Canis lupus familiaris: one gene and its partner. Each later gene encodes a partner of the first gene's protein in a complex. Links are inferred from orthologs where the notes say so. Each region holds a gene or a part of one and is shown on either strand. Other genes may lie near its edges.

What was found.
Region 2: the proteins of POLA1 (region 1) and PRIM1 are in contact, whole or in part, in a cryo-EM structure (PDB 7OPL), measured with the Homo sapiens proteins. The link is inferred for Canis lupus familiaris from reciprocal best matches to the Homo sapiens genes POLA1 and PRIM1. Residues at the interface, in NP_058633.2 of Homo sapiens: Tyr439, Ala440, Pro447, Glu448, Lys449, Ser450, Phe876, Thr877, Thr878, Gln880, Leu906; in NP_000937.1 of Homo sapiens: Asn92, Thr93, Val94, Lys95, Leu96, Gly97, Ala98.

Annotation. Positions count from the first base shown.
Region 1 is NC_049260.1:20,310,032-20,314,291, forward strand, and holds the start of POLA1 (DNA polymerase alpha catalytic subunit), read left to right. Parts: upstream 1-1,226; 5' UTR 1,227-1,342; coding exon 1,343-1,385; intron 1,386-4,260. UniProt on the Homo sapiens protein: Catalytic subunit of the DNA polymerase alpha complex (also known as the alpha DNA polymerase-primase complex) which plays an essential role in the initiation of DNA synthesis.
Region 2 is NC_049231.1:1,320,693-1,324,512, forward strand, and holds part of PRIM1 (DNA primase small subunit), read right to left. Parts: intron 3,195-3,820; coding exon 3,088-3,194; intron 3,017-3,087; coding exon 2,943-3,016; intron 1,547-2,942; coding exon 1,410-1,546; intron 1,012-1,409; coding exon 953-1,011; intron 1-952. UniProt on the Homo sapiens protein: Catalytic subunit of the DNA primase complex and component of the DNA polymerase alpha complex (also known as the alpha DNA polymerase-primase complex - primosome/replisome) which play an essential role in the initiation of DNA synthesis.

The DNA of each region.
Region 1 (4,260 bases):
GAAAGAGAAACAAGATCTGAAATACTTAGAGTTCTAAGGTGGCATGTGGAAAATTATCAGACATGTGAAGTTGTAAAGGAAAGATTTGGTTCATAAATATGTGCCTACCCAAAACAGTTCTCTCCTGTTAGGAATAAACTTGATAATATCAAAGTTGCAACAATTTCTTTAAAGAGAAAGTATAGGCATAGACGTGTGCTTTAAACAGTGAGTGGATCTAAGTGCGAGTCACTATGTATTTGTCATGTATCACAACATATGGATCATATCTTAACATGATATTGTGTTATAGAGCTGAAAGAAAAATTTCTAAACAATCAGAAATTAAGAAACAAACATCGATCAACCACGCTGGAAGGCAGACTGAATTTTTTATACCCTTTTTAGAGAAAATGATATTATAAAATTGTCACATGAGGAAGAGATCAACAAGTATGTTGGCAAAAATGTAGGAAAAGATATTACAGGTGTGTGGAAGGCACATGTATAAAAATGTTATACCTAAAAAAGAAAATGGGACACATACATTATGTGCATTGTACCGTATACAAGAACCTAATGCCTTTTTTGTCTTTCATCACACTGACATTTTGCAAGAACCCCAGATATTTTGTAGACCGTCCTATGCTTTGAATACATCTGATTGTTTCTTCATGGTTAGATTCAGGTTAAGCATTTTTTGTAAGAAGGTTATATGGGTGATGTCGTTCCCTTTTCCAAGTGCATCACGTCAGGAGGCATATGATTGCCCCATGTGCTTTTTTTGGTCATTTGGGTATGACAGTGCTTTATATATATACATATATATATTTATAGTACACATATCCATAAATCACACAGCGACTGTGTTCACACGCTAAGAAGCAAAGTTATCAGGCAAGACTCAGAGCGCGCAGCAGGAGGCAGTCGCTTTCCCAAGGCTCTGGGGAAACGGTCCAACCACGCCCATCCTACTACCCGCCCGCGTCTTTTTTCTCAGAGAATGAACTCTCAGAACCAGAAAGCCCCTATCCCAACGTGCCCAAGTCTTTTCCCATCAGCGTGGGTGCGCCTGCGCAGCGAGCTTCCCCGCGGCTCCTTTCCAGCGCCCGGCCGCTTCTTTTTGCTGCTCTCCTCGGCCTCCCCTCCACTCGAGCTTTTCCCTAAGGGGTCATAACAGGGCGCCAAACCGGCGTCCGCGGGAAGGCCGGGGGCGGGGCGCGGCGCGGCGCGGCACGTCAGTGGCCTTCCGGGCGGAAGTCCGCAGCCTCTGGAGCCTCTGATTGGCTTTCAGCCTGGCGCCTGTCTCGGCCCCCGCGCCAGTTTCGGGCTGCTTGGCGCGGAATCGGGAGCCTGCAGGACCATGGCGCTGGTACACGGCGAAGACTGCGACCTGGGGTCGAGCGGTGAGGGATGAGCCCGCGTGCGGGGTTCGGGGTTGGGAATACAGGGGCCGTGGCGTGATTGCGGGTGGTGAGGGCTCTGGAGAGGTCTTTTTAATTTGGGGTGGGGGGCGCTCGTCTGGTTCGCCTGACGGGTCCTTTTGGGCGCGGACCTTGGTAGTCCCGGGCTGGGACTCACTTGTGTCGGGTGGGGCTTCCTCGCAGGGCCGTTTGCTCCTGGCAAACCAGAGCGCATCCCTTGCAGGGCCTGTGTCAGAGTTGCTCTCCGCACGAGTCCGCATTTTCTTTTTATTTCTTTTGGCCAGTGCGTTCCACGTGCTGGGCACACCTGCATCAGACTGACCCCGATGGGGCACAGTCTTGGTTCAAAGTATCTAACAACTCTTAGTTCAAAGTATCTACCTGAGGGCTACAACGAACGAATGTGAGCTCTTTCTATGAAAACTCTCAGGGAAATGTTTATACACTTTAACTCAGCAGGAGAGAAAGTCTAAGGGCTGTCACCAGAAAATACAAATGTGCCTTGTCTTAGGTAATGGGTTTTTACTTCATGCATTAACAATTTTTTTCTCTCAAATTCTATGGAAAGTTCTTCCGAGTGCTGCATAGAAGTAGTGTTCACAATCTAGTCATCTTTGGTGAAGTTACCCCCCCCCCCCCGAAAAAAATCGAATCAGCTCAGCAGCATTTGGAATGCCCTGTATATGACTCCGTTTTCAGTAGTAATCTTTTATTTCCAAAAATAGAATACAAAAATGTAAATGGCTTTGATTTCTGATTTTTGGACTATGTTCAAGTAAAGTGTGACTTAACTTCAGTGAATGTCTGGTTTAAATTCAGATGCTTCACTTTCTTAGTTCAGGGTACATCTCCTGTCACCCAGATACATCTCCATTAATGAGAACTTGCCTTCTAATCAGTTTCCTTTGCATTCACCTAGTTGTGAATCACAGATACCAATTTGCTCCAGCCTTTCGTTTTTAAGACAATTTGTTTTGGAGAGTCGTCAACCCTGGATTACAAATGGGATGTAGGTTGTGAGTATATGAACAGTCTCTGCAGCTCTCCATCAGTGATTTGCCACTAGGGTTTCTTTCTTCACCATAAAAACTGTACGTCATCTGTGAACATCAAGAAATCACTCTTTGGAAGATGCTGTGTAATCTTGAGTCCCCTCTTAAGTCATGGTGTTGATTAAGTAGTTGCTAGAGACTTGTGACTGGAATTTTTCCCTTAGAGCAGAAAGATTGTTACCTGAAAGACTTGCATGCTAGTGTCTGCTTTGGGGGAGAATGGGGGTACTTCAGATGGTAATTTTGAACTGAATATTTAAAGTTTTGTAATGGATTTTTTCATGCCTTTTTGTTGTTGTTAACTTATCTACACGAAGCATTGGACACATTCCAAGAAGGAAATTCTAGGTCTTTTTTCCTCTTAAGTATTAGAAGGTGGGGTACCTTGACAATGGCAGTGAAAAGTTGAAAGGTCTGTAACTACCTATTATTACATATAAAAAGGGATCAGGGAGAGTTTAATGATTTTTAAAAAGCAAGTATAGTGGTTTATTCATTTGTTCATTCAGCAAATATTTACTATGTACCTGCTAGGTATAGGCATTAAATGGTAGGTAAGCTGGACATAGTCTTGTCTTCCTGGAGTTGAGATGGTAAAGAGCTAATTGCATGTGGTGCTATATTGAGGCTTCTCTGAGAAAACCACTTACCTTTATTTTTGCTTTCTAAAGCTAGACCATGGTACTTCTGGGTGTGTTGTGTGCGCGCTAAGTGTGTGTGTGTGTGTCTGCCCTACGTCTGTACACACATACACAAACATGAAATGAGATCCTATATTGCTGATACAAAATAAGCCAAGGTCCTTCATTTAATCCTTAACAACTTTATGAAGCAGACACAATTATCCCCATTTCACAGATGAGAATCCTGAGGCTCTGCATTACAGTGAGTCCTTTGGTCTAACCCACAAGAGCCAACTCTAGCTGATGTAAATAGAAAAAGAGGAATTTAAGTATTTTAGGGATTAGAAGGATACTGTGGTGGTCACAGAAACTCCAGGTGGACTTGAGAATCACTTTGGGGGGCTGCTTAGCCAGGAATGGTAATTAAAGTTGTGCCACAGGGGATCCCTGGGTGGCGCAGCGGTTTGGCACCTGCCTTTGGCCCAGGGCGCGATCCTGGAGACCCGGGACCGAATCCCACGTCAGGCTCCCGGTGCATGGATCCTGCTTCTTCCTCTGCCTGTGTCTCTGCCTCTCTCTCTCTCTCTCTCTCTCGGACTATCATAAATAAATAAAAATAAAAAAAATAAAAAATAAAGTTGTGCCACAGAACTGGTCTAGTGAGGAGGTCATTGTCAGCCATGGCCAAGTACTTGATGTTATAGTTTGTATCTTGGGACATTGCTGGCTGAGTGACCCCAAGTAATCCTCTTGCAGCTGTTGCTATTTCTAGAATCTTCCATTAGCCCATCCACTTTCCTTCTGACACTAGCTTCTGATTTAAAGTCTGAGCAGGTATTCCTACTTGATAGAGCCTGTTTTATATGTTCATGCCCTCGCTACAAGCGTATGTGGGAAAGAGCATCTGCTTTTTCAACTTCTCTAGTGGGACTTGGGCTCTGCATCCCATCAAGGTTTATAAGGAGGGGATTTCACAGACAAGTTCAGGTGCCAGGCAGCTTAAAAAACAACTTGAAGGCACCTGGTCACTACAGCTCAGAGATGTTAACTGGTGGTCTCATGTCACCCAATAAGTGGTGGAGCCGGATTGTGCTGCTTCTCCCTAATCTCCTATTCTCCCACTCTACACTCATGTAAGATTTACCTCCCATACCCACTTCCTCTTGGTTTCTGAGTACACCT
Region 2 (3,820 bases), on another chromosome or scaffold:
TAGTTTTTCTTGCCATTTGGGAGACTAGTGCTTACTTCTATTGAATTTTTTTAATGAGTATATACTAGTCTAATAAGAAAAATACAAACAGAAATTAGCTATGTAACGTGGGGATAATACACCTTCACAGGATCATAAGAGCTAACTAAGACATTCTAAGGGGGAACAACCTGGTACAGTACCTGGCTTAGAATAGATTCAAGAAATGTTTACTTCTAAAACTCCACAAATTAGAAGGTTAATAGCATCATAAATATGTAATAAGGTAGAAAGCAACCAGGCCAGGACAACATAATAATACATCAGTAGCAGAGTATGGGACAGAATCTGAATAGCTTCCACTGAGAAACAGAATAGTTTCTACTGAGGTACTTGCTTTAACACCTCAACAATTATGTAGTGCTTAGCAATTTGCAAATAGACGTCACACCTATTGTTTATTTAATCTGTGCCACAACTCTGAGATACATGGAGCAAATGTTATTTTCCCCAACATATATATATATGGAAATAGAGGCTCTAATATTTTATCATGGTCTTAGAAAGCCACAGAATAGAGATTCTTACTCTTAATACGATGCTCTTTTCACCTAGAGAAGTAATGAATTTAGTGGAAAGACTATGAGTTTTGAAATTAGGCAGACCAAGACATGAATCCTGAATTTAACAATTACTTGTGTGGTGCCAAACAAATTATATAATCTGTCTAAATCCCACTTTCTTCATCTATAAATGGAGATATCCCCATGTCCCTCATGAAGTTGTTGTTAAGGGCAATGAGAACATTTGTAAAGCATGTCATGCATACTGCAGCATAAAACAGCCATTCAATTAACTCTTGCTATTATTATCTATAAAATGCTACCCCAATAGAGAAAATTGGTAATAGTGTAACTGTAAAAGCATGTTAGGTAAATCAGACAAGAACTGCATGGAGTCTTTCCCAACAGACCTGACAAAAGGGTGAATTTTTTCACTTAGGTGGACTTTCTTTTTAACGTCCTGACCACCCTGAAAAATAAACCATCAAAAAAGAACTTCATATATATGACACAAATGAAATACTAAAAAAATTTCTTTAATGTGTTCTACAGATATGATTAAATTGTCAAAATACAAAAATTTACATGCTATTTTATATAGTTTCAATACCTGTAACTTTCTGGGTTAACTTCACTTGATATAATTGAACTAGAAAAGCAATTTTTTCCTTTTGTTACAAAGGAGGATATTTACAGTAAAATATGAAAGATCTTAGAAAATGTAGCTACTATGATTATTTGATCTGCTGGTAAGATCATCTACTCTGGAATATGCATATAAAAGATAGTTTCATTTTTTTCACTAAACATTTCAGGCTTGGAAATATCTGGCAAACAAAAAAATGTAAAATATCATTGAGATCTTACCTTTACAAGACTCAAATACTCAACTATCCCAGAACGTACTGCAGAGGACAATTTTCTAACTGATTCATCACAGACCCAACAATGAACACCTCTCCTTCCAGAATATACCCAGAGACGATGCTTAAATCCAAAGTCCTCTGAGGAGGGGAGAAATACGTTTTAAAATCTATAAATAAACTGGTTCTTGCTTACTTCCTTGGTTTCATTTTTACCTCTTATTCACATGTACTCACCTTAACTATACTAAATTACATGTAGTTTCCTGTGTCTATGGTCTTGCCTTCATGTCTATACGTATCGTGGTCTCCTCTCTCTGCCAAGAATTTCTTCACACTCCAGCATTTCCATTTTTCTCCTTGACCAATTGCCATTTATCATTTAAGACCATGTCTAGGGGGACGCCTGGTTGGCTTAGTGTGTTAAGTGATTGCATTCGGCTCAGGTCATGATCCTAGGGTCCTAGGATTGAGCCCAGCATCAGGCTCCCTGCTCAGCAGGGAGTCTACTTTTTCTTCTCCCTCTGCCCCGACCCCCACTTGTGTTCTCTCTCAAATAAATAAAATCTTAAAACAAAACAAAACAAAAAAACCCTGTCTAGGGACATTAAAAAAGTTAATAAATTTAAAGTGTTTAGAACAGTGCCTGTACACGATACACAGCCTATATAGAGTTAGCTTATTTATTTATTTATTTTTTCGGAGAGAGAGAGAGCATGTGTGTACAGGGGCAGGGAGGGGCAGAGGGACAGAGAATCCTAAGCCGGCTCCACACCCAGCACGAAGCCCAACGTGGGGCTAGATCCCAGGACCCTGAGATCATGACCTGGGCTGAAATCAAGAGTTAGAGGTTTAACCAACTGAGCTACCCAGGTGTGCTGAGAGTTAGCTATTTTTAACATTATTATCATCACCTTTTCATTTTTTTCTTTTTTAAAGATTTTATTTATTTATTCATGAGACACACACAGAGAGAGAGAGAGAGAGAGGCAGAGACATAGGCAGATGGAGAGGCAGGCTCCCTGTAGAGAGCTGATGCGGGACTAGATCCCAGGACCCTGGGATCATGACCTGAGCCAAAAGTAGATGCTCAATCACTGAGCTATTCAGTTGCCCCTGTCATTACCTTTTCTGATGCAGTCTCTTTCCATTCCTGTATGTACTCCTGCTGTTCTATATCTCCAGGGCACCCTGTGTGTATTACTTAACATAAATGTAATCCTCAATTTTGTCTCCTTCCTAGACTGTATAACCTACTTGAGGTAATCATCATCTTTCATATTTCCCTCATCTAGGACAGTTTGTAGCACATACAGCTGCTCGACAGATGACTGAATTGGGAAAAAACTCACTGGTTTGATCAATAGCTTTATTAGAGTTTCAACTACAACTTTATTCTAAAAATCTCTTATTTTCCGGCCATATGTTTCAAGGAAACATGTTAGAAATCTATGAGATTTGATTATAAAATGGTATAGACAGATAAATATTCACAGGAAAACAGATTATTGCATTTGACCCCACTGCCAATACTTGCCCTTCAGTGCTCGGTCGATTATGCGTATGGCCATCGTCATGAGGGTCCAGCACTTAGAACATATGTCTGCAGAACTGGAGCAGAGGAATCATTACTCATTGTCAGTGATATCACCCACCCTACCAGCAAGGCATGCGGCACTTACCTACAACATCTCCTCACATCGTCATAGTCTGTCATGTCAATGTCAAACACCAGTTCTTTTTCCTGAGCCTGGAAAGCTCCCAGCTTTACTGTATTGTGTTGATTGGGCTACAAGTAGAAAATATCAATCATTTTCTATAAGAGCTGTCATGCTGCCAATTATGCTATTTTCTAACCACACACAAAAAAAAGTGGCCGAAGAGCAATGAAGAAACCATACTATAATGCCAACTCTCTATCAGTTAAAATTCATTAATTCGGATTCTATGCATCCAGAATTGATGAGTGTAAATTTCATCTACCTAAAACAGGTTTTGATAAATATATATTACCATAGATATTTTTTCTAGTTCTACTGATATAATTGACATGTAACCTTGAATAATAAATATTTATTAATCAGTAAGAGATCATAATAAAGCTTTTTTAGGTTTCTGATTAGGAAAAGCACATACAAATAATGCCCTATTGCAAGCTGTCTTAAAGACCTTTAATTATTATTGGACATATAAGTAATAAAAATGTATTTAAAATATTTCAATAATTCAAAAGATCTCAATTAGTTTGAACTGAGCCTTTGGCTCAAGCTGTAAGTAGCCTCCTGGCTACTCTATACCTGGCTATGGGCCACCAGGTATAGAAAGTAGGCTACAGATACCTATCTTGGTCTTTCCAAACCTGCACAAAAATGATAGTAAAGGTTTTCTTAAGAAAGGCATAAATCTTTTTAAAAA